7 linked regions of the Oryza sativa Japonica Group genome follow. Each later gene encodes a partner of the first gene's protein in a complex. Links are inferred from orthologs where the notes say so. Each region holds a gene or a part of one and is shown in the gene's direction. Other genes may lie near its edges. The genes, in order: large ribosomal subunit protein bL21c; large ribosomal subunit protein uL29c; uncharacterized protein; large ribosomal subunit protein bL34c; 50S ribosomal protein L24, chloroplastic; large ribosomal subunit protein uL3c; large ribosomal subunit protein uL13c.

What was found.
Region 2: large ribosomal subunit protein bL21c (region 1) and large ribosomal subunit protein uL29c share a complex: the UniProt entries of both Arabidopsis thaliana proteins name them as parts of the 50S ribosomal subunit. The link is inferred for Oryza sativa Japonica Group from reciprocal best matches to the Arabidopsis thaliana genes RPL21C and AT5G65220.
Region 3: large ribosomal subunit protein bL21c (region 1) and uncharacterized protein share a complex: the UniProt entries of both Arabidopsis thaliana proteins name them as parts of the 50S ribosomal subunit. The link is inferred for Oryza sativa Japonica Group from reciprocal best matches to the Arabidopsis thaliana genes RPL21C and emb2184.
Region 4: large ribosomal subunit protein bL21c (region 1) and large ribosomal subunit protein bL34c share a complex: the UniProt entries of both Arabidopsis thaliana proteins name them as parts of the 50S ribosomal subunit. The link is inferred for Oryza sativa Japonica Group from reciprocal best matches to the Arabidopsis thaliana genes RPL21C and AT1G29070.
Region 5: large ribosomal subunit protein bL21c (region 1) and 50S ribosomal protein L24, chloroplastic share a complex: the UniProt entries of both Arabidopsis thaliana proteins name them as parts of the 50S ribosomal subunit. The link is inferred for Oryza sativa Japonica Group from reciprocal best matches to the Arabidopsis thaliana genes RPL21C and RPL24.
Region 6: large ribosomal subunit protein bL21c (region 1) and large ribosomal subunit protein uL3c share a complex: the UniProt entries of both Arabidopsis thaliana proteins name them as parts of the 50S ribosomal subunit. The link is inferred for Oryza sativa Japonica Group from reciprocal best matches to the Arabidopsis thaliana genes RPL21C and AT2G43030.
Region 7: large ribosomal subunit protein bL21c (region 1) and large ribosomal subunit protein uL13c share a complex: the UniProt entries of both Arabidopsis thaliana proteins name them as parts of the 50S ribosomal subunit. The link is inferred for Oryza sativa Japonica Group from reciprocal best matches to the Arabidopsis thaliana genes RPL21C and emb1473.

The regions. Positions count from the first base shown.
Region 1 is NC_089036.1:9,030,742-9,034,911, reverse strand, and holds large ribosomal subunit protein bL21c, read left to right. Parts: upstream 1-1,397; 5' UTR 1,398-1,443; coding exon 1,444-1,746; intron 1,747-2,217; coding exon 2,218-2,298; intron 2,299-2,846; coding exon 2,847-2,948; intron 2,949-3,031; coding exon 3,032-3,106; intron 3,107-3,225; coding exon 3,226-3,309; 3' UTR 3,310-3,555; downstream 3,556-4,170. UniProt on the Arabidopsis thaliana protein: This protein binds to 23S ribosomal RNA in the presence of protein L20.
Region 2 is NC_089036.1:32,213,481-32,217,345, forward strand, and holds large ribosomal subunit protein uL29c, read left to right. Parts: upstream 1-1,575; 5' UTR 1,576-1,606; coding exon 1,607-1,960; intron 1,961-2,901; coding exon 2,902-3,045; 3' UTR 3,046-3,321; downstream 3,322-3,865.
Region 3 is NC_089035.1:25,929,349-25,932,164, reverse strand, and holds uncharacterized protein, read left to right. Parts: upstream 1-1,308; 5' UTR 1,309-1,392; coding exon 1,393-1,482; intron 1,483-1,590; coding exon 1,591-1,908; 3' UTR 1,909-2,169; downstream 2,170-2,816. UniProt on the Arabidopsis thaliana protein: Binds the 23S rRNA.
Region 4 is NC_089035.1:34,740,083-34,744,079, reverse strand, and holds large ribosomal subunit protein bL34c, read left to right. Parts: upstream 1-1,577; 5' UTR 1,578-1,601; coding exon 1,602-1,845; intron 1,846-2,958; exon of another isoform or gene 2,959-2,959; coding exon 2,960-3,219; 3' UTR 3,220-3,392; downstream 3,393-3,997. Other genes in the region: uncharacterized protein, read right to left, coding at 1-1,344. UniProt on the Arabidopsis thaliana protein: This protein binds directly to 23S ribosomal RNA.
Region 5 is NC_089040.1:29,338,638-29,342,962, reverse strand, and holds 50S ribosomal protein L24, chloroplastic, read left to right. Parts: upstream 1-1,630; 5' UTR 1,631-1,710; coding exon 1,711-1,833; intron 1,834-2,942; coding exon 2,943-2,981; intron 2,982-3,056; coding exon 3,057-3,284; intron 3,285-3,397; coding exon 3,398-3,580; 3' UTR 3,581-3,802; downstream 3,803-4,325. UniProt on the Arabidopsis thaliana protein: One of two assembly initiator proteins, it binds directly to the 5'-end of the 23S rRNA, where it nucleates assembly of the 50S subunit. Required for optimal plastid performance in terms of photosynthesis and growth.
Region 6 is NC_089036.1:1,979,847-1,983,720, reverse strand, and holds large ribosomal subunit protein uL3c, read left to right. Parts: upstream 1-1,339; 5' UTR 1,340-1,433; coding exon 1,434-1,965; intron 1,966-2,698; coding exon 2,699-2,988; 3' UTR 2,989-3,139; downstream 3,140-3,874. UniProt on the Arabidopsis thaliana protein: One of the primary rRNA binding proteins, it binds directly near the 3'-end of the 23S rRNA, where it nucleates assembly of the 50S subunit.
Region 7 is NC_089035.1:31,965,684-31,970,197, forward strand, and holds large ribosomal subunit protein uL13c, read left to right. Parts: upstream 1-1,461; 5' UTR 1,462-1,556; coding exon 1,557-1,781; intron 1,782-2,342; coding exon 2,343-2,528; intron 2,529-2,809; coding exon 2,810-2,980; intron 2,981-3,453; coding exon 3,454-3,573; 3' UTR 3,574-3,806; downstream 3,807-4,514.

The DNA.
Region 1 (4,170 bases):
TAATTTAGAAAACTTATCATTGCAAATAATAAAAAGGTTGTCCTTTGTACTCTTGTTTTTAAAGACAAACTTAGATAACAGTCTCACAGTTTATCAATGTTGTTTGATAGCCTTTGATGCGCTTGCATGGGCTGCAGCATATAGCAACAGGCCAAGCAATAGTGCGCTATACCTTGCATTGGCTACGGCTACACAGTCGAAGCAATGCCATAGAAATGTGACTACTGAACATGTCAATGTTCATTGTTGATAGAACTGGGAGTACGGAAGATAGTCTCTTTAAGATGGCTAGGTCAAAATATAAGCAAAGGAGGACTCAACAAGATTTGAAAAAAAAAACAACAATCAGGTCCTCCTCTGTCTTATGCCCACATTGGTGGTGACTGGTGACATACTTGATGGCAGTGGGTGCTACATGGACACGGCGAGCTACAGAAGATGTTGCCTTGACGCATTCCCAAATAGGGTTTCACAACAATAGAGGTTAAGGCCATGACAATTCATGAAAAGGTTCATCAATACCATAGATGAGTACATCCAGAGCTAAATGAGATTGTTCTTGGAGCAGAACCATCAAGGTCGACAACCTAATCGTTGATATTGGTGATAGAGACAAAGATTTCATGGCAAGTTGCATAAAAAAGCACCAAGAAGCTTACCTTATTAGGGCCTCCATAGCCTAAGGTTGAGGAATCCAAGCATATAGCAAACAAAACTCAACTGCTTCTTGAAGGTTTGCCACCAATAAAGAGGAAGAAAACTATCATCCTTGCGAAAAGCCTGCTGGAGAAAAGAAAGATAACTTGCCTAACTTCCCTTAACTAGGTCTAGCTTTCTCCTAACTCACGGTGATAGAGAATTACCCGGTGTTTTAGAGGGATACCACTAGAGAAGAAACTTCGATTGCCTTCTCCATGAAACCTAGGACTAGAAGGCCAACATCGCCGACCTTCACGCTCAAACTAAAAGAAAAACCCAACTAAATTGATTGACCTACAAAGAGAGAGTTTGTCGGACTTCTCTCCCTCACCTCGCCGGCGGCAAGGTCACCCGAGCCTGTGAGGAAGAGGGGTCGAGGAGGCGTAGTAGTTCAGTTTGGCTCTTTCGTCCGAGAGTTCACGAGAGTTCTCATCACTCGTGTTAATTCGCATATTCTTTATGGTCTAATCAACACATTCGATCCAACTCTTTTATAATCTTTAACTGATTAAATCAAACGATTCTAAACTTTAGAAAGGAGAAACAAAATGAGTACGTGCAGTATCGCTAAAAAACTAGTAGGGCATAGTTTCATGTTTTTCATGGGTATCTAATCTGAGCCGTTGATCTCCAATCGAACGGCTCAGGGTAACCTCCCTATCCACAATATTATCCCTCTTCTTTCTTTCCGATACGATAGCCCACACTCTCATCCACACTGCTCTTCCCCCCCGCGCGCCGGCCATGGCCACCGCGACGCTGCCCCTCCGCCTCCTCGCCTCCAAAACCCTAGCCTTCCCCTCCGCCCCGTCCCTCCCGGCCTCGCGATGCTCCCTCCCCGTCGCCGCGTCCGCGCCCCGCCGCTGCTGGCGGCTCCTCGCTTCCGCCGAGGAGCCGGCGCCCGCACCCGTGGAGGCCGAGGCCGAGGCGGAGGTGGTAGAGGAGGAGGAGGTTGAAGAAGAGGAGGCTGCGGTGCCGGAGCCTGTGGAGGCGCAGATCGCAGCCGCGGGCGCCGGGAAGGACGCCGACATCTTCGCCGTTGTCATGGTGGGGCTAGCTTGCCCTTGCCGCCAATATTTCAGATTTAGTCCTGCTCGGCTCACTGCAAACAAACAAAAAAAGAATCACATTTGTTCATGCTACATTACCTCGAATTCTTTAAATAATATCATTACACAGGCATTTGGCGCTAGTTGCGTTGCTTCTTGCGGTGAAGTGAGCATTTGATTTCAGGCTTGTGTTGCTTACTCTATGCTGCATAAGAAGCTTAGGATTCACGCGCCAATAGGAATGCGCGCACGCCGATTATTAGTATGTACAGGACACACCATTAAGAAAACGGCGCAGAGAATTACAGTGTTTTCGAATGATACAATACTAGTCTTACAGAGAATTGTTCGGATGCATTTCTGAAATATGCAGGAGTGCATCTGAGGAGGGTTTCTCTGTGTTTTGTTTTGTATGAGCGCTGTGAATAATAACGAGGGAGCTATTTTGATTATTTTTCTTCTGTCGCAGATTGGGTCGAGACAGTACATTGTGATGCCTGGAAGGTATATATACACGCAGAGGCTGAAAGGCGCCAATGTCAATGATCAGGTCTGGTGCTTCCACTTTAGAGGATGCAGGAGGATACTTGTTACACCCTAACTAGAAATTTGGCCTATTTTTGCTAGTTAGTTGGTTTGTATTAATCCATAAATTTAAAAGGTATATGATGCTGAGGTGGCTTCTAGATAAGGTGATTGTAAATTAGGAAAAGGCAAATATATAGTATTGGTTATTTGGTTATTATTCTTTTTCATCCATGAGATGCAATAACAAACTTCAAAACAACGAGGAAGGTTGTACATTCTGAAATTATGGAAAGTGGTAGTGACCTACTTCATTTTAGAAGTAAAAGAGTCACTTCCCTGTAATTATAACACTTCAATCCCAGTTCCTGATTTCACATAAATATCTTATTCAGAACTTTTCGATAAGTTTTGTGTAGCCTGCATATATTAGCTTCGTTCCTTTTCTAACTAAAATTACTCCTCTGATGCAAAGCTTCCAATCCCATAGGACCCATACGTTGGCTTATGTTGCTGGCATTTTTAGTATTGTTTTCCCAGAAATTCTCACTTCTGGATAATGCTGATGTGCAGATAATATTAAACAAGGTATTACTGGTATCAACTAGAGACAAGGCTTACATTGGCATGCCAGTGGTGACCAATGCTGCTGTTCATGCAGTGGTTGAGGAACAGGTATGTCCTCTGTATGTTGTCGGGTTAATCATGGATATTCAAAATTACTTGACCCTGATGTCTCCCCAATATTTTTATATCAGGGACGGGATGATAAAGTGATAGTCTTCAAATATAAGAAGAAGAAGAAGTACCAGAGGAAACTTGGTCACAGACAGGTAAGTTTTTCCAATTACCTTCTTCAAGAAAGGTAGAATTTTATTGATAAATACTGATTCAGTTTTTACAGCGAAGCAATTAGAGTTCTTTTAGATTAAAAATCTCTGTTGTTTTGCAGCCAAACACAAGGTTAAGAATTACCGGCATAAGTGGATACGAGGACTTCCCTGCTGACCCGATACTTGAGTATGTTCCAGCTTAAGAGCAATTGTAAGTTCTGTAGTTACAAACAACTGGTAGTACATTAGAATACGAGTGCTACCTTTTCTTGTCTGGAAGAACAGTTTTTGAACAAAATTTGCTTTGTTCATGTGTTCGAGTGCTGCCAGTCATCCAGTTGTTCCATCCTTTGTTTATTCCACCATCTGTTTTGTTCATTCTGATATTGTGTATCCTAGCCAACTGTATTATTTTCACTGTGCTTAAAAAAAGAGAGAGCATTTTACCACGATACGGATGTTTTAGCTTTGGTTTGTGTAACTTTATACAGTTTTTGTGACTACTGATGCTAATTTCACTGTTTTTGGCATCTGTACCAATGGTGCTTAGTTTATTGAACGGGCTATGTCCTAATATTTTGGGATCAGTTACAGTACTATGTTCAATGCAGTTCTGGTCATGATTTATTCGAGTGTTCTAAGAGAAGTTCTGCAAGGCCATATATAAGGTGTTTGTGTGCAACCTTGTACTGCTTAGGGCACATAAGCAGCTGGTTAGGACTTAGGCCATATAAGCATCTACAAGGCAGGTGGCTGCATGGATTCTGCTTACCACTTTTTAGAACCTTGGTTCATGAAGAACTGCAGAAGTTTTGCCCTTTTGAATCCTTACCAAAGATAACCAGTGGCATAAGGCGTATAATCTTTTGGCAAACTATGACTGTTTCAGTAGTCCTTCACCCCTAATTGCATATTACAGTTCTGAATTATAGTGGTTTTCAGACATCTTTTGCCTAATTGAAACCCTTGTTGAAGTAAAAATTTGACCACTGTAAAGGTTCATAAACTAAATATAATCACACTAATTTGTTATATGCTAGCCAATTTTCTTGATATATAAGACT
Region 2 (3,865 bases), about 23 Mb from region 1:
TCATATCGACATAGCCGTTGTATTTGTATGCACCCCTGATACGGCTCATCATGTAGATGCACAATCTTTTACGCCTTAATGCTCACAGTGAATGAACGAACTTCTCGTAGAAAACAAATTGAGTAAAGCAGTTATAACTTGATATATTGCTGTGTTCACAGAGAAAGCAACATGAAAAAAAAAGAGAGTAAAATGGTAGTAGGACTTAATATACCATTACGCATTTACGCTCACAGTGAAAGATCAAATCTCTCTCTCTCAAAAAAGGAGTGCAACAGTCAGACTTGATGCACAATCCATATGCTTCTTGATTCTGCATACCTTTCTGTCATTGTGTATTCAGCTTGTTAATTTCTGCTTTACATCGTTGAAGTGTTTCTGGTTGCTAAATAGGACAAATTTTATACTTGTAGATATACAAATACACTTAATTGAACTTGATTAACATAATTCTGTACAGAGCACAGCTTAAGCAGGCAAAGGTGAACAGAGATGTAGTTAACATGCCTTGGTGCTGATGTGTGAAGGTGTTCCAGATGCTTGGTCTTCTGCTACCCTCAGCTGCACCACCCTCGTACTGTAAGTCAAGAAAGGCCAACTCTTCAGATTTCAGACAAAGACAAAACATGTTACAATGTGACAGTTAATTTTTGGCAACTCATTCATTCCTTGGTGCCAATCTGAGCATTATTCAGTAGCATCGTGTAACACGCAAAAATCAACGAAAACAACAAAAGAAATTCCTTCTTTTTTCTTAATTACAGGTGGAATTAATCAGCTGTGGTGTGAAACTGTGAACCCGTAGGGAAGCAGGGGAGGGAGCTCCCGCTCCTGCATGACGGCATCCGGCGGCGGTAGCACGGTCCTCAGCCACGCCCTTTGTTGCACGGCCAGTGGCCTCCGTCCGAGATCCCCTTGGTGCCGCGACTTGGGGAGAGAGGCGGTCGGCGAATCAAAAGGCAGAAGCGAAGACGGACGTAGCGATGCATGTGATTTCCTCCTCCCCATCCCCAAGCACGGCAACCGAACTCATCGCCCCATCCAGCGACGAGGTGGATCTATGCCACCGCCGCCGAACTTGAGGGGAAAGACGGCACAGAACGGCGCGCTGGCGCGTGGGAGGGTCAGCCTAGGGCGTCGGAGGGGCGGAGGTGGAGCTGGAGCGCGGGGAGGAGGAAGAGGCGGCGACATCGGCGTAGGAGGACAAGTCGACCTCCGACGAATGAGGCGGAGGAAGCGGGGGCGGGGGCGCCGGCGGAGAGAAGGGCATTGCAGGTTTGGTATAACTTTTTCAAAAAGACCCCTAAAACCTCACATATTACAACGAGGTCCACCGCAGCTATTCCACACCGTTGATCTGTGATCTGACGGCTGCGAGAGGGAGACGAAAGCTGGAATCGTGCAGCGCCACGTGGAGGGGTTATTTGCACGCGAATCCGCGTAGATTTCGATATTTAGAGATGTGACATGCATATTAAGCAAGTGAAAGCCGTCCGATAATGCTTGAAGATTCGTGCCCCGAGTGGCTAATCAACATGACCAGATAAACCCCCTTATCCACGAACCCCGACCGGCAGAGAGCGCAGACGCGAGCGCAGCGCAAAAGATGGCGACGATGTCCCTCGCCGCGGCGTCCCCCCTCGCCTCGACTCCCCGTGGGCTCGCCGTCTCCACTCCCCGCACGGCCTTCCTCGGCCTCCTGACCGGAGGGGCGTCGCTGGCGCCGTTCCCGGGACTGGCGGCGGCGGCGGCGCCGCCGCGGCTGCCAGCGGGGAGGGGCGACGCGGCCGTGGCCAGGATGGCGAAGAGGGAGCAGGAGCTGGAGGAGATTCGGGCCATGCCGACGGAGAAGATCGAGGAGGAAGTGGTGGACCTGAAGGGGGAGCTCTTCATGCTCCGCCTCAAGCGCTCCGCGCGCCAGGAGTTCAAATCCAGCGAGTTCGGCCGCATGCGCAAGAGGGTATGTCTCTTACTCCATGGGGTACAGATATACCACAACTGCTAATTCCATTGCGAAAGTTTAGCATTTACTCCTGGCCAAAATGCGTTCAACCTACGAGTGGAAATTCCACCTTCTACTTCCAAATGGGTGTGGAGTGGTCGCATGTTCTGCTCAGTGTGTTCTGTTTACAAGGCCCTTTTGTTCAACCTCTAGTACTGAGTTGATTATGTTCAGATATATTGAGTTGATTTCAGGTTCAGAATAGTGGAATAACTTACCAATTTGTTGGTGGAATTTTGCCTGATTTTTATCAGTTGCATATTGGCCCATACTGAATTTACAGATGATTTGGGTTAATGCTTGGACAATTTCAGTCTCAGAAGCAATTTTTTTTTACTTAATTTGATTAGAAAGTCATGCTGACATCCATTTACGTATTCTTACATAGTATCTACTTTGGGTTTGTAGTATTGTTTATTGGATTTTAGTGCATAGAGTACTACATGAAGAATGATATTGCAATGCAATGTGTATCTGAAGAGCTTTTATACTGTTCTTGGGAAAGTAGTGTTAAATTAACCTTCAGTGGACCAAAATTTAAAATGGAACAAAACTTTGTTCTGAGGACGTCAAAATGCAGATAGTACACAAGAACTAATTCTACGGTCAGTTATGTGATACCTTGTTCTTCTTGAGGGCTTCTGATAAGTCAATTGTTATGAATTATCACTTGCTTTGGAGTTCAGGTCTCCACCTCTGCTCAGGGACAGCACAGGACAAATAGTTAGCAGCAGAGTAATGCATACTTATATCTGCCTCGATCAATGCTTCTTGCCTTTTAGGAGGAGGATATCAGATTTTTTTTTCCTGTTGTTTTTCTCACCCTGCTCATCTTGCTTCAATAGCAGCTTTCTACTATCTAAATTTAGCATTGACTTGGGTTGTCATCTTCGCATCAGATTGCTCGTATGCTGACTGTCAAAAGAGAACGGGAAATTGAACAAGGAATCAACAAGAGATTGTCTAGGAAGCTTGACAGGAAATGGAAGCAAAGCATCGTGGTTAGACCACCACCATCTCTAAGGGAGAACAAGGAGGAATAGAGAGCCACAAAAGCAGACAGTCTGTAGAAGTCATTTCATGCATGTCTTGAAGGAAGGTTTCTTTCTCCCTGTGGTTTCATTCCTTATAATGGATTGATATGTAATTCACATTAACTGATTTCCAAGTCCTTGCTGTCAAAACCAAAAGTTCTATTACCAATTCCATTTGTGTAAATTTCAGTTTATTCAAAATGTGTTGTCCATATATGCACTTATATTACTGATATATGAAACTGTGCTTAACGAGTGTATGCTATACACTTGTTGAAACTCAAACTGCCTATTCAAATTCACCTGTCACAAAGTTGTGGGTACGTACATACTATAAGAGGCAGATATGCAGAGTTCTAAAGAAGTGTCTCTGGAATACGGAGTAACAAAAACAAGAGAATTAGGCCATGTCTATAATAGTTCGCTTGGAATTTTGGTGCCCTGCTTTGCTCCAAACTCAAGTTCACTGTTTTATCAAACGTTTCAAAACTGTACAACTGTCTCCAAGCCCACGTTCTTGTGGCTTGTTGTGTCGGTCACCTAGATTTATGTTATTGTTCAACACTGATTTATGCTTAAACTAGCTCTGTTAGACTGTCCTAAAGCATGTTGGGCTTTCCCCTTCTACTCTAGCTTTAGAGTATGCTGCAGGTATCTCTGCACAGAGCTAGGGAGCCATCCTAGATCCATCATCAGTTTCATAAGCAAGCCCAGGTGGCTTGGCCCTTCAGCCAAAACTTGTTATTCTGATCTCTTCAACAGATCTTAACTTGAGATGTAGAGAGGCTTCACTCACAAGGTAATCTTTTAGTCAACTATTGTCTTCCTC
Region 3 (2,816 bases), on another chromosome or scaffold:
GGGGCTCCACCGGCAAGGAAGATGACGGTTCTAGACGCCGCTCCCCTCCAGTGCGGGGATTAGGCTTAGCGCTCCCCTCCATCTTTCACCGGCGGCGTGGGGTCTGTGACCGCCACTCCCCTCCAACGCATGGGTTGGGCTCGGCGCTTCCCTCCACCTTCCACCAGCGATGCAGGGTTCATGACCGTCACTCCCCTCCAGCTCCACCTCCCTTCATTGGGTATTAAGCTTGCAATCGTCACCGGATTGGCAACGCCCTCATCGAAGAAGCTCTCTCCGTGCAGTCGTCGACGAGCCTGAGAACCGCCAGATTTTCGCCTGAGTTGAAGAAGAAACTGATCTGCGTTGTGCGGTGTTGAGCTAACAGAGGTATTGACAGTTGTTGTAACGGAGTGGCATAGCTCAAATTTTGCAAAATTTCAGTGGCATGAACCTGATATCGTGAATAGTAATGGCAAATTGGTAAACTTGCAATAACATGATCCAATTAACCCATATCTTTGGGGAGGCTAATGCGCACGTACGTGCTAGCAATTTAGCTGGCGCCCGCGTCAGTTGGCCCCCTCCCCTGTTCCCGCGTGCTTTTCTTTCTCACTTTTTTTTTACGATTTTGGCGCCTGGATCCGGGTGCGTTTTTCTTTTTTTTCGCCATTTCTTTCTATTTTTTTAATCTTTCGCACACCCCTTTACAAATGTAGAGTTGAAAGTTTTAAATTTTGACTTCAAAGTTTTTAAATTTGACTTGAAAGTTTTCAAATCTGAGTTGAAAGTTTTAAATTTGAGTTGAATTTTTTCAATTTGAGATGAAAAGTTGAAAGTTTTCAAAATTTGACTTTAAAAAAAATTCAAATTTCGAGTTGAAAGTTTTCAAATATGGGTTGAAAGTTTTCAGAATTTGACTTGATGTATAAATTTCTTTTCAATCTGTTACTTTAAAAAATTTTCGGAAAAAACAAATCTTATCTTGATTATCTAAAACTAATGTATTTTTTTACACGCTAAAACTAATGGACTAGTTACTACATGCGCTATGGAAAGAATCTAACCGCGCCCGTGCGGTGCCGTGCATACGCGTGGGCCAGAAGTGCGCGCCCGCGGCGCGTATGCGAGAATTAGGAATTCTGCATATTTTTACCACGTAAACGAAATAATTGCATACATTTTTTTTTCTGGGCCAGTAAGTAACCAACGTGTATCAGCCCAAACCAAACAACAATTAAGAAAGCCCAGCCAAAGCGAGGCAGGCGAGCGGCCACCCGCACGGCACCAAAGCCTCAAAAATTGAGAATCATCAACGCTTGAGAGGATAACACACACCAGAAACCGATAAGGGACACGAAACAGGGGAATCCGGAGCAAAGTGCGACGCGAGCGCGCGAGGAAGCAGCAGCCATGGCGCTCTCCCTCTCCACCTCCTTCCTCCCGACCCAAGCCGCCGCGGCGGCCACGAGGACCACCCTCCGCTCCCTCGTCCCCTCCCAGGTACGATTCCTTCGATGCCCCCACAACCGCGTAGGCGTAGCGCCGCCGAATCGGAGATTCGGAGGAGGTGATTGGAACTGGGCGGTGGTGTGACGATTTGCCGTGCAGAGGATGCGGTGCTCGATGCGGAAGAAGGGGCTGCACCCGGAGATCTACGAGGACGCGAAGGTGTACTGCAACGGGGAGCTGGTGCTGGTGACGGGGGGAACCAAGCCGGAGTACACGGTGGACGTGTGGTCGGGGAACCACCCCTACTACGTCGGCGACACGTCGGCGATGGTCGTCATGGACAGCCAGATCGAGAAGTTCCGCAAGAAGTGGGGCCACATCAAGGAGTACTGGCCCGAGGACCAGTGGAGGGAGATGCACCCCGACGGCGACCCGGAGTTCGACCCGGAGGAGGAGGGATCCGCCGGCGCCAGCTGAGCCCCCGCTTCGCCTCTCGCCTCCGCCGCCGGCCTCGCCGGTGCGGTTTCTCTTGGTTGATTTTGGGAATTGCGTAAAATGGATTAGCTCCTCTTGCTTGCGCCTCTCGTTACACGTGCATTCGCATTGCTCTCTAGGTGTTCGATCGGTGTTCTCAGTGGATACGTGTGATCATATTTGTGGTATCGAACTGTTTGTTCTCTGCCTGTACTCTTTGACATCGATATAAAATGGAGATATTGCAATTTGCACACTCTGTAATTGGACATTTCCAACTCGTTGAATCGATGCATGCTAGTGTTGGTCTGGGCTCTCGAATAGAATCGTTGCATACATCAGTTTGTCCGGTCTTCAGAATAAGCAGTAAGGGGCTGTTAGTTCACGTACTAACATTGCTAAGGTTTACCATGTTTTCTCGCTAAAGTTGAGGCCATCAAAATCCAAGCCACGCTCTAGCCAATAAAGGCTATGTTTAGTTCCCAAAAACTTTTCGCAAAAACATCACATCGAATCTTTGGACACATATACGAAGCATTAAATATAGATAAAAAAAATTAATTACACAGTTTACATGTAAATCGCGAGACGAATCTTTTGAGTCTAATTAGTCTATGATTAGCCATAAGTGCTACGGTAACCCACATGTGCTAATGACGGCTTGATTAGGCTCAAAAGATTCGTCTCGTGGTTTCCAGTAACCCACATGTGCTAATGATGGCTTAATTAGGCTCAAAAGATTCGTCTCGTGGTTTCTAGGCGAGTTATGAAATTAGTTTTTTTTTATTCGTGTCCGAAAACCCCTTCTAACATCTGGTCAAACGTCCGATGTGACACCCAAAAATTTTCATTTCACCAACTAAACAGGCCCAAAATAAAAGCATGCCACACTTTTTAGAGTCACTTACATG
Region 4 (3,997 bases), on another chromosome or scaffold:
CTTCTTCCCCTTGAGGAAGACCTCCCTGTCAACAAGCTCACGCATGTATCCATCAAACTCCACAGGAACTCCACCATTGAGCCTCTTCATCTCCAGAAACCACTTGCTATCTCTCGCCCAGAGTTCCTCAAACGCATCTAGGTAATGCACACTGCTGTACTTTGCCTTCAGCGCATCCAACAAGACCACGTTGATGCCCTCTCCCGCAACATACACCTGCCTTCCTCCTCCATTGAGTCTCTCCTCAATCCTTCTTCTGAGGTTCCCATCATTGCCACCAACATGAACAGAGTCAAAATCTACTTGCATCCTTGATATGATACCATCAACAATGTCCATCAAGCTTGGCGCCGTGCGTATTGCTCCCTGCGGTGGACGGAGGACATGCTCAGCTTCGCCCTCGCACACATTGTACCAATAATTCCCTGGCTCCACGTCCCCAAATTTCCTAACGATCAGGGGATCCCTCGACTTGGAGAACTTGGTGGGCGCAACCCTGCTGTCCTCGATGATGCGGACTCCAAGCTGACCCTGTGCTCCCCACTTGTCCCAATCCTCCCAGAACCGCTTGTGTTCAACGATCCCGACCACGGATTGCAGGTGCTCAATGTCAATATAGAAGGCGAGGCGCTTGCCCTCCTCGGGCATGCCCCCGGCGTAGGCGGCGGCGAGACAGACGCTGAGATCGAGGACGAGGGTGCGGTTGAGGTAGCGGGCCTCGGCGATGGAGCAGAGGAGACTACGAAGATAATGCGGCATGGGCTTGCACCGGTCGCCGCCGCCAAGGTAAGAGAGGTACTTGCCCGCGGCGAACTGGGAGCGCGAGAGCGCGGGTGGGGGCGGCGGGGCGGTGGCGTTGGTCCCGCCGCGGCGGGGCTTGCGGGCGAGGGGGCCGGAGTGGTATTCCCCGATGGAGGTAACGGAGTAGGCGCAGGTGACGGGGTCGCGGGCGACGGAGAAGCGGCGGTAGTCCTTGTAGTTGGCGGAGGCGGTGGATCGGGCGCGCCAGGCCATGTCGCAGGAGGACGACGGCGGGTCGCCGGGGACGGGGCGGCCGAAGCGGTTGAAGTGGACGTCGGGGAAGGCGTCGATGGCGCGGCGCATCATGAGGTGGAAGAGCTGCGGGTCGGCGCAGTCGAGCGTGGAGGTGGTGTCGCAGCTGGCCTGATCCTGCTGCTCCAGGTGGGACGTGGTGGGCGTCAAGGCGGCGGTGGGAGGGGAGAGGGAGATGGGGAGGTTGCGGAGGGTGAGGAAGAGGAAGGCGACGAGCAAGAGGGCGGCGGCGGCGTGGGCGGAGGAGGTGATGAGGGCGCCCCGCCCCAGCAACGGCCGGCTCGGGTCCATCCGGCGACGGCGACGGCCGACGGCGATGAGATCTGGTGGCTGATTGTGTAATAAAGCCCCGTCTGCAGGCGGCGGACGGTGGTGAACTTGTTTCTAGGAAGACGACGAACTGTTCCTCTTAATGGGCCTAACATGAGTGGGCCTAAGACGAAGGCCCATGATTTGGCCCAAGAATCGCATCTCGTCGTGGATAAGACGATAAAGCAACATTGTGTGGGGATAGCCATAGCCCTGCACCGCACCTCGACTCCCCAAACATGGCGCTCGCCCTCGTCTCGCCAATGGCGGCTCTCTCACTCCACTCCGGGAGGATCTCAGCGGCGGCTATCGGCGGCGGCCTCCGCTCTCGCAGGGCATCCCCGATGGGCGCCGCCGCCACCCCGTTCCTCCGGAGCTCCTTCGTCTCCTCCTCCTCCACGTCATCCGCCTCCGCCTCCCCCGCCGCGCTCTCTGCCGCGGTCTCGGCGTCGCTGACCTTCACCTCTGCCTCCTCATTTGCTGGTGAGAATGTGTACTTTACTCGTTCCTGATTCGCTTCGTTCTGTTGCTACCATTTGGGTTGGGGAACTAGATGGAGGAGAGAGTTGCCTGCAAAGAGAAAGGGAGGAATGAACTTTTGTGCTGCTGGTTTCGGCTTTAAGTACTGTACAATGGAGTGTTTATACTGTCAGATAGGTAGCGTGTACAGTTAATCAGTGCTTAATGTCAGAAGATAACTAAACTAAACTAGCGATTTTAATGCAATTGATATATTTGAAAGTTCTGATGGTATTCTGGCAATTTCCTGAGAAATCTTAAATTCAAACTCTGCCGTACTTGTTAGCTGCTGTACGCAGCTTGTTATAATCTGCAATGTCTGATCCTAAAGCCCACGCATTCTTATAGTTAACCATGTGCTAGAGAATTTTGCTTAAGATGTGGATTCCGATTAAGATTAAAAAAAATCACTTGTTTACACATCCAGTTTTTTAGTGTAAGAACGTGTATATATATTCATAATTCAGTGATTAGTTCTAGATGGTTCCATGTTAGGAAACCTACACGGCTGAAAGTTTCTTTTCTTCCTCCATGTACTGTGATACTGATATTGTGATTTCCAGTAGTGCCAGATGGACTGTAGATTGTAGTACATTCTTGCGACAGAATCATGAAAACATCACAAAAACTCAGGAAACTCCACTTTTTGGAGCGAGCGCATGAGCTTAATTTAGTAAACTCATTATGAAATATATCATCTAACATAATTATACTACGAACTAACGAAATCACTGAATCAAGAACGTTTAACTGGACAACTCAACTTTTTAAACAGTTCAGTTACAATTAATAGCCTTGCCACCTAAAGCAAAACCAAAATGCTCCTAAAACAAGCCAATAACGTTAGATTAAAGGAACTATTGCAATGATATTATCCTTTTGGAAAATGAACTGTACTTTACATACTAGAGTTTTTTTCCAAATGATCTTAGAGAACAAAAACACAAACTAAGGGCAATCAAATAGCCGGTTTCTGTGCTGTACTGTTGTATTTAGCAAATCCATGTTCTTATGTATCAAACCATATTTGTTCCAACCTACAAATGATTTCAGTATCCTAATATGTTACATATTTCAGGTTCATCTTTGGGAATTGAATTCAGCTACAACAGAGTTACAACAGGAAGATCCCGGATTCTGCAGATTAGGGCTGGAAAGGCTGCTCTGTGCATGACCAAGAGAAATAGATCTAGGAAGTCGCTTGCCCGTACACATGGTTTTCGCAGACGGATGAGGACTACTGCCGGAAGAAAGGTCCTGAAGCGCAGACGCGCCAAAGGAAGAAGGGTTCTCTGCACAAAGACGAACTCCCCCACTGGGAAGAAACGAATGTTCTGATTGAATCGCATTCTAAGTCGCTCTTTGTCACAATTGTAAGTGTATTTTTTTATCCCACGTTCTCGGTTATACTCAACCATAACAATTGGTGCAAATCCTTCACCCGGTGTCCGGTTAATGTGTGAAGTACATTATCAACACAAATTCAAGTTAGCCTTTTTGCTTGTGCAGTATTTAGTAGTTGTTTGCTGTGGGAATATGTTCTCCTTGATCTGCATTGCCATGGTTTTCCTCTGATCTATCTTGACTGCATTCTGAGCATAGATTTTGCCAAAGGGCCTAAATGCTAACTTGAGCAGTTGCTCAAATAAACTCATCAATTTTTCTATTCTGTAGTAGAACGTCCCTTTTATTTTCTGATACAGTCCAGTGAATTTTAATATTCAGATCATCTCATCATAGTCACTCCATGCTCCACTGTGTAACACAATTTATCCACCTCCTCTGTGCCAATCTCTTTGGTACACACTTATTTGTAAAACAACCTGATTGCCCATCCAATCCTCTGTCACCTTATAATTTTGCTACTATCAGGCGAAAAAATGGATAATATCCAGAACTCAACCTGGAATAAATGAAAGGCAACAAGTAGCAAAGAGAACATTTACATTCTAACAAACTGAATCCCTCCTCTTCTTCACTCGCATCGGCAAGCCGCCTTCCATCCTCAAGGTCACCGAGAACACAAGCCCTGGCCGTCCCTCGCCGCCGACGAACCTGAAGCTGAACCTCTCGAACACGCACGCCGCGATGGACTTCATCTGTATGTATGCCATCT
Region 5 (4,325 bases), on another chromosome or scaffold:
ACACGAAAGGGACAGGAGCGATTTGCTGATGGTGACCAGTGGAACAGGCAAGAATGTAGTGCACGTGTTATCCATGAAATCCCTCACATGTACACCTAAGGTTTATCACTAAATACAGTAACACACAAATACACAATGCATATAAACGTAGACTTTTGAGTCAACAGTTTTGTTTATCACGAAATATAGTAACTAACACTCAAATACACAATGCATAGAAACGTAGACTTCTGAGTCAACCGTGTTAGAATAGCTTGGCCAAAGATGCTCGATGATTCGAAATCTTCGGTCAAAAAGCTTGGAATTCATAGTATAACGACCACTGTCACTATGCTATTTGGTTTTAGGTAGAGAAACCAAGAGTTCTTCGATTCGAAATTAGGTTGGTTCCTCAACCTCCTCACATGGATCGGAAGGCTTCGATTCGAAGTCGTCCGATTCACATCGGTGCCATCTACCTACCCATCCCCATTCCCCACCGCCCACGCCCAACCCTATCAAATGAAACGCGAGATTGCAACCCCCCAAAGAGAAGAAAACGGCAGCGGAAATGGCGACGTCCCGATCCCCCACGCGGCGTGATGGGGAAGAACTCCTCAGGCGTACGCGCATCGGCAGCGTCGTCACCGCGAAAGCGCCCCCCAAAAGAGAGAGGAAATGGGTCCCAGAAAAGCGCAAAAGGGACGGAACTTGGGGGGTTGCTTGCCTCCGCAACTGTCGCTTGGCTTGCGCGCGTCGCCGGCGACGTCGAAGCCGCCGGAATCCGGGAGGCGCCACGCCTGGGCGCCCCCGCCGAAGCAGCATCTCGCGGCGCGTGGCGTGGTGATGATGCGTGTGGAGACGAAGCCACGCAACGCAACGAGGAAGACGACGAGCGTATGCTGGGCTGGGCCTTATCCGAAAACGGGTGTCGGCCCATATCAACCCAGGACGTTCGGCCCACGTTACTTGACCACAAACGGGATTGCGGACGACGAGCGGCCCACGACATTTGGGCCTTAACCGGATTGCTGACGTGCGTGATAGTAAGTCTATTTTGCCTCCCTCATGTTCTCTGCGAGTCAGCCTGCCACGTCAACAGGAACCACCCTACAAACCATCTAAGGGTTGATCTGCTACGGTTTTCGCTTATTCGAATCGTTTATTAGCAAATAAAAATTTATTTATGAGTAAAATGTTTATATATGTCCATAATAACTTAAAGCAAATGTTGTAAAATATAAGCATTTTAAAAAAACAAAAAAGCAAATTCAAAACTAAGTTCTCAAATTCAAATTTTGGCTCATAAATATAAGCATAACCAAACAATAAGACCGATTTTCCTCCATTTTGCGGTTGAGGGAGGTAATTCAATCAGGAGCAGAGATGAGAAATGTACAATAGATTTTATCTGTGTAGGTGCGACCTGTTCTTGTTGGGTCGAGACGGGATTGCGGCTTACGTGAGGCCCGCTATATTTGAGCCTGAACGGGATCGCGGCTGACTTGGGCCGTAAGGTCCGTTGTAGTTGGGCTGGATTACGATAGGCCTTTCATTAGGCCTTTATGAGTCTTACAAGTGGGCCAATCCATTCGGCCTAGAGGCCCATTTGTCATGTAGAAAAGCGCTCGCCATTATCCTGTCCGCGAGCACACGAAGGCGTTCGTTATCCTCTGCTGCTTCTCTGCGGTTTGAGCGAGCGAGGGAGGAAGAGGAGGGGAGGAGACGAAGATGGCCGGGGTGGCGGCGTTGCAGGGCGCGATGGCGTCCCTCTCCATCTCTGCGCCGGGGGCGGCGAGCACCAGCAGCTTCTGGGGCCACCCGCTCTCCACCTTCGCCGCCGCGCCGGCTGGGGTTTGTGCCGACTCCCAACCCTGATTCTCATTTTTCGCATTCCTTTATGTTTGCTCTGCTCTTATGATTCGCTGGAAAAGTAGAAATGCCAGCTTGCACTGAGATTTAGGATTTTAGAGCTCACCAACAGCGTGGCATTGCAATGGTGATGTCTACATCGCCTCACTGTACTGTTGTTGCCTTCAGGAGTTCAGGCTCAGGACCTCAACTAGCCAACAACCAACGTTGTGTCAAAATTTTGTGGTATATTTTTTTTAGAGAAAAGGTCTCAAGGATTTTGTGGTATAGTTGAACCTAGTTGGCTAGTATAAGGAGGGTTTATATGAATTAATGAATGCTTGAAATCTCAAGTTTGAGTATATCAACTGAGTGAATTCAGAAGTTAGAAATTGTGTTGTCTACCATGGGATGTGGCCTGTTATGTTTCAGTTTAAACTTGAATATTATTTTTTTCCTATGGTGGTATAAGCGATGGATACCCAATATTCAGCCTTTCAAGCAGAGGATTATTTTTCTGAAAGATGTGCCCTCTAGTGAGACAGACCATTTCTTGTTCTAACCTGCTGTATAGATCACATTTCGCTGGCTAGAAACAATTTTGCCTTTGAACTTTAAATTACTCAACAGTAGAAATTTCACAGAAGACTTCCATGGGAAAATGATGGAAACTCATTTCACTCGGGGATAGCCTGTAGCAAATGATTGGCACACTCGGTATACTTATCAGACTGAACTTGTTCTATCTTTTGTATATTCTTTTTGGCGTTCCTTAGCTCTTCTAGATAGTCTACTGCACTTCGTCCTCAGAATGAGACTCACTCACGACTAATTACTTACCTGGAAAGTGGTGATGAGAGAAAATAAGGCCGAATAATTGCTCTTGAATGGAGTGACTGAGCTATATATGGCACTTATATGATGAACTGTACTAAAATCTGCACTTATATGAAGAAACTCGTACTAAAAGATCATATGATTATCCTAGATATTCTTGCCTAAGAAACATCGTGAGCATGATTCATGTCATATCTCAAAAGCAGCTGATTATTACATTTTATGTCATTTTCATAAGAAACTCTGACAAGATATGCATAAATTTTTATATGCAGGTTAAATTTATGATCAAGACATGCCCAATTCAAATGAGGGTAAGTTTCAATTCTTTTTTGGTCTGCAGCTTGCTATTTACTCAAATGTCTGAAATTTCCCTTTTTCCAATGCAGCTTAAGCGATGGGAGAGGAAGAAGTGTAAACCAAACAGTCTTCCTGTCCTGCACAAGATGCATGTTAGGATTGGCGATACAGTACAAGTCATTGCAGGCCGTGAGAAAGGTAAAGTTGGAGAAGTTACGCGGCTTTTTAAGCACAACAGCACTGTAATAGTGAAGGACTTGAACTTGAAGTCCAAGCACAAGAAAGGAACAGAAGATGAACCGGGTGAAATCGTCATGGTCAGCATTGTTTCTCTTGAAACTTCTTTCTGTGCTGCTTCTAGCTAGTGTCGTATATATAGTTTCAGATGCCTGATCGTTAACCTATGGTTGTTGGTGTTTTCTTTGATCAGATTGAAGGCCCCATTCACAGCTCAAATGTGATGCTCTACTCAAAGGAAAAGAATGTGGCGAGTAGGGTTGGACACAAATTCCTTGAGGATGGAACGAAGGTTCGGTACCTGGTCAAGACTGGTGAAATAATTGACAGTGCTGAGAATTGGGTCAAGGTGTTCAAGGAAGGAAGTTCGGAGTGATCATGGTAGCATGGGAGTCCTGCACATTTTCTGAACTGCACTTTTTGTATGCCCAAATGAGTTGATGCTTTTCTAGATTCAGATTTCAGAGTCTTGTAAATTTCTATACAGTTGCCAACATTTTTTTGTATCCAATGACATGCTTGGCTTGTTAACCAGCTACTAGAATGGTTCAGCTACATTCGCTCATACAAATGATTTTGTAATGTTGTTGCTGTCCCCTGTCCTGAGCTATTATTCGCAACCATTGACTAATTTGGTCCATTTCCATATAGAAATATAGATGAGATGTACATATAAAACCCATGAATGATTGATAAGTTCTTTTTTTTAAGGAGTAGTAAGATAGGAGTATCATAAAAGAAACAAGCTTAGCAATTTTTTTTTTGAAACAACCCGCAGCGATGTTTCTATTGATATAGTAGGAAAAAAATACAAATATATAGTGCTAAAAGATAGCGATGTTTCTATTGATATAGTAGGAAAAAAAATACAAATATATAGTGCTAAAAGATTATAGTCAGAAAAAGGAAAAAACAAATCTGATTTGCCATTGATAACATGAAAGCTCAAGAGCTCGTGCTGACGGCTGAGAATCAACATAGCAGATATGGCACGCAAATATCAAATCCAGGTGATCGTAAGCAAACCACAGTTTTCTGCTTGCGTTTTGCTCCGCGAGGGAAACCTGACACCTGTCCAGATCCCATGAGACGAAGATGCAACCCATCAAGGTCACGAAAAC
Region 6 (3,874 bases), about 7.1 Mb from region 1:
ACCTCACTTAGCGCCCCCGGCCGAACCGGCAAAGGGGGGCCTGCGCGGTCTCCCGGTGAGGAGCCCCAAGCTCCGACAGTGTTAGTATGTTGCTTCGTTTTGCATGCGAAGGGGGTTTTCAATCCCTCCAGAAGAACATATGCTAAGTAAAGCAATATTTTGTTATATATAAGTGATCAGGTAGAGCGAAGGGCATAGAAAACAATAAAGATATAGCAAAATGTGAATTGTGAAAATACTAGTGATGGAGCGCAAGATTTGTGTTTTTGAATCTCACTCGCGTAGAAGGCAATGGATTTCTCTCGTTGCTTTCAATTCTTGAACAACGTTATTGGTTCGATAGAATTTGAAGTGTTCAATCACTATTTTGTAGTGAGCTATTCTGAACTGTGTTAGTGCAATGAAGGTCATCGAGAGTGCAAGTGGCTAACCTACAAAAACCCACTTATATACTAAAACAAACCATCTGTACCAAACTCAGTTCCCATTGATATCTTCCCACCTGGTGCACAGGGGCACCGTGCTAAGGTACAATTGATCTAGGTAAAAACACTTGACTTTAAGTAAGGACACTGGATAGCACGTTATCTAAAATAAAACTCGGTAAAGTTATATGGTCTCAATGGCAAAGCTAGCAGCATACTTAAACCTGGGAGACAAGGAACGTTTACTAGTGATCCATAAATTTTCGGTATTGCTAAAAATATGTCGCTACAAATTACGATGGATTTCAGTCGGTTGTTTCAACCGTCAGATGCGGATGCAGAAATCATCGCAGTGTACGCATATCCCTCCGATTCTGTTCTCTTCTGATCTCTTCTGTTGTTTTAATGTTATTTGCTAATTAGGATTACTAATTAGTCTTAAAAACTAAATATCCGTGTCATCACAAATTTATAGTTTTGGGAATTACATCAACTTACACATGTAATTTTGAGAATTGCATATGTAATTTTAGTACTTACATATGTAATTTTGGAATTTACATTGTAAATACACTAAAATTATATATGTAATTTAGGGACTTGCAATGTAAATACATGCCGACTATTTTTTTGGTGAAAAATACGGCGCTATAAATATATATATAGTTACTCCCTAAATTTTTACATGTGCTATCAATGGAGAATAGTAGCAACATCAGCGGCGGAGTCTGTACGGTCGCCCGACCTGCCCAGGAGGTAGCTCCGCCTGTCTAGCCTAACCTGTAATTTATTATGCACCCGTGGTATTTTGCAACTGTTACGGAATCCACCTCCCCGGCAAAGAAAGCGTATTCCTAAAAAGCGCCTCTCTGCAGGCGGGAGGATAAGGGGGCATTAGCCGCAAACCCCAATCCAATCGAATTCAACACGAAAAACAACCAAAGCAGCAAGCGAAGCCGGGACACTGCTGGAGTGAGCAAATCCCCGCTCGAATCCGGGGCACCAAGAATGGCCATGGCGGCCGTGGGCATCGGCGGCGGCGGCGGCGGCGCGCTGGGCCTCCTCGCGCCGCGCCGCCGCGCCGCCTCCTGGAGCGGCGCAGGTGGCGCGGCTGCGGCGGCGGCGCGGCGGCGGCCGCTGGTGGCGGTGGTGCGCGCGTCGTACGAGGCCGGGGTCGGGGTGATGGCGACCAAGGTCGGGATGATGACCTACTTCGACCCGGCCACCGGCAAGCCGGTGCCGGTGACCGTCGTGGGGTTCCGGGAGGGCGGCAACGTGGTGACGCAGGTGAAGACGGCGGCCACCGACGGGTACGACGCCGTGCAGGTGGGGTACCACGGCGTCCGCGAGGAGAAGCTCACCCGCCCGGAGCTCGGCCACCTCGGCAAGGCCGGCGCGCCGCCGCTCCGCCACCTGCAGGAGTTCCGCCTCCAGTCCGTCGACGGGTACGACCCCGGCCAGCCGCTCGACTTCGCCGACATGTTCAAGGAGGGCGACCTCGTCGACATCTCCGGCAAGTCCATCGGCAAGGGGTTCCAAGGTCAGTAAACTTGATTATTTTTTTTTACTCCCTTTTCACAATGTGACTACCATTTCGCCCTGTCTGAATTTGAACAATGCTTTACATTGTGAGGAAGACTTGAGAACAAGCTTGAAATTTTGCTGTATCAAATTTACCATATGCTCACCAATGTTAGTGTACAGAATTGTTCTTGGGAAGAATCATTTAGCCTCTTCTCTTGATTAGCGTCCTAGACTTGCACAATGGCATTGCCAATATGGCAATGTCAATGCTGTTCTTGGAGTTGCAGACCTGTACCATGTCAACACATTCGTTATAGTTCACAATTTATTGCAACCATCAGCATCACTTGTATAATTTTCATGAAGTGAATATAACATCGTAAACCCGTTGCAATTGCGCTCTTGATTTGCTGCGACCAACGATTTGCCAATACCGCAAACATTATCCATTTCATGTATATTCTTCCCAAACAACATAATAAAAAAGACACAAATATTAGAGAAGGACCTAATATCAAATAATTAGAATGGGTGAGGCTTCGAACCCAGGTCGTCTAGCCTACCACCTTGTGGAGCTAGTTGGAAGACCCCTGGGTGTTTCTCCCCAAACAACATAATCGTTTATAGCATTCTCATGAAGTCAAGAGCACCAATATCTCTTTTAGTTCCTGATCATCTAATGGCAATATGGCATAATTGTGCAACTATGCTCTCAATTTGCGACTGACGGTTCTTGGACATCGACACAGGTGGCATCAAGAGGCACAACTTCAAGCGAGGGCTGATGACCCACGGCTCCAAGAGCCACAGAGCTCTGGGATCGATCGGTGCCGGGACGACGCCGGGTCGGGTGTACAAGGGGAAGAAGATGCCCGGGAGGATGGGAGGAACCAAGACCAAGATCAGGAAGCTCAAGATCGTCAAGATCGACAACGACCTGAAAGTTGTCATGATCAAGGGCGCCGTTCCAGGGAAGCCCGGGAACCTCCTCCGCATCGCTCCTGCCAAGATCGTCGGCAAGAACATCCCCAAGAACTAGACTATTTTTCTCATGTGTTTCGTCCTGTTCTGTGAGATTTGTGATCTGTTGTTTACTGAATTACTGTAAATTGGAGATGTTCTTTGCCCATGTCCAGGTTTTGTATACGCGTAACTTTGAATTTCGTAAAGCTAATTTTTTTTCTACTCAATCTTATCGATCTCCCGTTCTCAGTTCACACTCTCTTTGGACTAGAAGCTAACAGAATCTTAATCATCTTGTGCTTGGATGTCAAATTTGCAATCACTGTTTATTCTGTGTTCAGGGAATGGAAACATGTAATGGTAGACGGTAGTGTAACAAACACATCTTGAGAATCAAACTTCACCAAGCGTCAACAATCTGACAGTTTTACCAACTTCTCCAATACTGAATTATTGTAAACTCTCATGTCTGAACAACCGAAGAGTGCAGAGCGCGACATGGCCAACCGCAGCAAGTGCAACAGAGGGAAAATGTTAACTAAGCATCATGTACAAACTACACATCAAGTGCAACAGCACGAAATGTCAATGTAAAGCTTCCAGTCACCATTAACGCTAACTTCTACAATATCTTCAGCAATGACACAGGGACAATAGGTTTCTTGCATCAGTCAATGCGACACATTATTAGGCCATGAAATATTCTCACACAAGTCACCGAAGCTGGTAGTCCAACAGAACAAGACCTAAAACTGACGAAGCAATAGTTTCCATGAAATTAGCTGAGTTCCATGGCCACGAATATAGACTCACTTGCCCAAACTACTATGTACAAAGTTATGCATCACTGCTCAACCTGCACATACATAGAGATCGATGAATCAAGTTAGAAGAGTTAAACCAGTAGCATATAGATAACACCCTATTTTGCTATTCAAGAATAGAAAAAGAGAGGGCATGCT
Region 7 (4,514 bases), on another chromosome or scaffold:
TTTGTCGCCAGAAACATAGCCTAATTTTGGGTATATGATCCTATATCACCTGTAGTGCTGACTTGCTTGTGTGTGTGGACAATTTAACATGGGGCAATTACTCATTTGACCCTATTTTGATGTCTAACTATCAATTTGACCTTACTTTTCTAGGTTTGCTCATTTGACCATGCTTTTTAAAATTGAAGATCAGAGATGACCCTATTTTGTGAAGGGTAGATAACGGTGTTAACTAAGAGGGAAATTGTCCGTTTTGCCCCTGCTCATTTACCATATTATATCAAAGTTTTTTCTTCATCGGGACTTTTTAAATATTTGCAATGATTTTCATGGCTTTTACAGATCTGAGACAGATTTGTCTTCAATTTAACAGAATTTTACACAAATTTGACAGCATATTGTCCAACAGCAAAGCATATTGTCCAACAGCAAATCAGATCCAAATCCAACAATAAATTCGTATCCAAATCCATCAACAAATCCAACCACAAGTTATCCTCCGTCTCTCGTTCCACACGACGCACGACGGCAGCCGGCGGCGCCGCCCCTCCGCGCGGCAACAGCCGGCGCTGCTGCCCCTCCTCCACCCTCCGTGCGGCAGCAGCCCCGCCGCCGCTCAATCTCTCCGCTTCGAGCACGGCAGCCGCCGCCGCCGCCGCTCCCTCCTCCTGCGCGCCGACGCCGCTACTCCTTCCCTCCTCGCGCGGCCGCCGCCGCCGCTCGCCGCTCCCTCTCCTTCCTCGCGCGGCCGCCACTCCCTCTCCCTCCTCGCGCGGCCAACGCCGCCGCCGCTCCCTCTCCTTCCTCGCGCGGCCGCCACTCCCTCTCCCTCTACGCGCGGCCAACGCCGCCACCGCCGCCGCTCCCTCTCCCTCCTCGCGCGGCCGCCGCTACCGCTCCCTCTACGCGCGGCCAACGCCGCCGCCGCCGCCGCCGCTCCCTCTCCCTCCTCGCGCGGCCGCCGCCACCGCTCCCTCGATGCGCCGCCAACGCCGCCGCCGCCTCTCCCTCCAGCCCGGTCGGCGGCAGCTCTCCCCGTCACCGGCGAGGTGGGGATTGGGACGAAGAGCTGGGGAATGGAATGGGAATCCTAGGGTTAATTTGTAACACGGGGGTATTTTGGTCACTTTAGGGTAGTATTTTTTTTTTCTTTTTTCTAAGTGATGTTCTACCGGTGAAAGCAAAACAGGTCAAATGGAAACTTCAATTTCAAATAACAGGGTCAAATAAACAAACCTAAAAAAATAAGATCAATTTAGTAGTTGGCCTTTAAAATAGGGTTAAATAAGCAATTATCCCATTTAACATATCGGAATTTCTACGCGTTTCTCTAGCTTTGATGCATCTGTGGGCTGCAAAGCCCAGCTAAGCAAAAGGCCCATCTCTTCCTCTTCCCCTTCTGGCTCCCTCTCCCCCCCTATCCCCTTCTTATCCGCTCTGCTCTCTCCACCTCGCCTCCCCGAAACGAAATGGCAGTGGCGTTCCACTGAACCAGGCCAAGCCAGACGGACAAGACTTCGCCGCAGCCGCGTCCTCCTCACCGCGCCGCCGTCGCAATGGCTACGGCCATCGCAGCCTCCGCGTTCCTCTCCTCCGCCTTCGCCAGGGACAGGCCGCTCCCCCGCCAGCGGCGCGCGGCGAGGCCCGCGACCCGCCGCGCCGCCGCGGGGGGCCTGTCGGTGCGGTGCGAGCAGAGCGAGAAGCAGAAGAGGCAGCCGCTCTCCGCGCTCGTCCCCCGCGAGCAGCGATTCATGTTCGAAGGCGACGAGCTCTGCGGCCCCGTACTAACCCTCACCTCTCTTTCTCTCTCCCGTATACATTCTTCTCTTTCTCAGTTCAGAAAATGAATAGTAATGCTACATTCCTTGGATAAAGGGAAATTTTACCGTGATTTAGGATTGCCGCTTATTTAGGAAAGCTCAAGATTAGTCCCATTCATTTCTAAATCCGTAAGTCACTTCATCTTGCTCTATTGGGTCAAATCCTTTCTTTACATGAATAATGTTAGGGAAAATACACAATGTTTTTACATGTTACTATACCGTATAGACCACCATCTTATTTTATTTAAAGTTATCTAGTTGTAATTTATTACGAAAGAGGATTCCATAAAATGAACTGAAAATAACATGGAGGGAACGTTGGTCTTTCTGAATTGGTCGCTAACATTGTGTTGTATTACTCAACAGTGTTCGCACCTACATGACTACCATATCTTTTTATCTGTGGATGTTTAGGTTTGTGAAGTTAGAATTCAGTACGGATACCATTCTTGTGTTCTTTCTCTCTTTTCTGTGCAACCTGTTCTGTGTAGTGATCGGACCAAGGAATTTAATTTGCAGGACATATGGAACACAACATGGTACCCTAAGGCTGCAGATCATGTAACTACTGAGAAGACATGGTATGTTGTTGATGCAACAGACAAGATTCTAGGTAGGCTTGCATCCACCATTGCAGTACACATCAGAGGAAAGAATGAGGCCACATACACTCCAAGTGTGGACATGGGGGCTTTTGTTGTTGTGGTATGTATGTTTCTTGAAATTAATTTATAAAGTTAAATAGTGCACACAATAAGATCCTCTGTAGTCCCACAAAAGGAAAAGAGGTTTAGCAGCACATACAAATAAGCACCAAAAGGTATCTGGAAGCTGAGGTCCACCTGAAGGCATTTTGAAGCTGATTTCATGTATATATATTTATGTTACTGTGTGCTTTTAATACTAATGCATCTCTGAAGAGTAATTGCTACGCATATACTATTGTAAGTTCCTGAACTACCATGCTGAACTCTATGTTCACATAGGTTAATGCAGAGAAGGTTGCTGTTTCTGGCAAAAAGCGGTCACAGAAGCTCTACAGGAGGCACTCTGGACGGCCTGGTGGAATGAAAGAAGAAACTTTTGATCAGCTTCAGAAAAGGATTCCGGAGAGAATTATTGAACATGCAGTGCGTGGCATGCTTCCTAAGGGCAGAGTAAGACATCATCTCTTAGAGCTCTTATCTAGTCAGTTTCATCAAGTCTTTTTGACCTTAAGTCAGCCTACCTGGGTATACATATGCTCTTATCCTTATTTTTGGTCAATTTCTAATACATATCTGAAAATGGGTATCCTCGTTCTGTTCCATTATACTTCATTATTGTGTATAATTCCCCAACTTTATATACCCTGTTCATGGAAATATTCGCTCTAATTGAATGCCGAAACGGCGTGGGCTAACGAAGTACTAGATGTATTCTCCCAAAACTCCTATGTTGCCTGTAAGACATCTTATGATTGCCTAAAGCCTTTTACTTATGCCTAAGTTCATTTATAAAAAAAAAAAACGTTTACTATGTCAACCTCTCAAGTTCTCATATGTTAGTGACACTGACACATGTAATCCGACCAACTACAGCGGTTGTACGTGCTCTATGTAGCCTTCTCAACATTTTGAACATTTTGCAGCTGGGAAGAAGACTGTTTACCCACCTCAAGGTGTACAAGGGAGCAGAACATCCCCATGAGGCTCAAAAACCTGTTCCACTGCCTATCAAGGATAAAAGAATACAGAAGTCTGAGAAGTAGATAATTCCTGTGGAGACTAAGAAAGACACAACAATCTCACGTAAATTCCTCCCCTCGAGATTTTGTCCAATCTTTGGAATGTGATGCATCTGTCTGTTTGGGGAATGGAGTGTAAAATTTTTTGTAATTTACTTCCTCCAAAAGTTTGTGTTTCTAAGTCATAGTTCTTGTTGATTACATATCATGTACCTAATACCGTACGATTTTAAGCAATCCGATATTTCCATATCCAATTGAGTAGTGCAATTTTGACCTGAGATGAGCTTGATGTGTCATTGTTTGGGGGCAAAAGTGTTCTCTTTTTTCAATGGGCATCAGGTGTTTCTAAATTCTCTTAATAGTTGATGTAGATCTGTTAATTAATTGCACGTCCGTGTTTATCTTCCATATAACGAAAAAGTTGACAGTACCAATCGTGTGCTCAAGTAACACCTATTGTACCATGTACTCATTCTGTAAAAAAAAAGCCAATTTAGATGAAGATCTGATACCACCTAAAAATAATGATTAGGAGGTTATCCAGATTTATATTAGGTGGTATCAAATTTTCATCTACGGGGTTGTTTAGATCCAGAGGTGTAAAGTTTCGACGTATCACATCGGATATTATATAGAGTGTCGCATAGGGTGTTCGGTTACTAATAAAAAAAACTAATTACAGAATCCGTCAGTAAATCGTGAGATAAATTTATTAAGTCTAATTAATCCATCAATAACAAATGTTTACTGTAGCACAATATTGCTAAATTATGGAGCAATTAGGCTTAAAAGATCCATCTCGTAAATTAGTCGCAATATGTAAAATTAGTTATTTTAGCCTATATTTAATACTTCATGTAGGTGTTCAAACGTTTGATGTTACAGAATAAAAAATTTTAAGGTGGAATCTAAACAGGTAGTTTTTTCAAGGAAGAAAGTAATTGCGAGAACATAGATTGAAG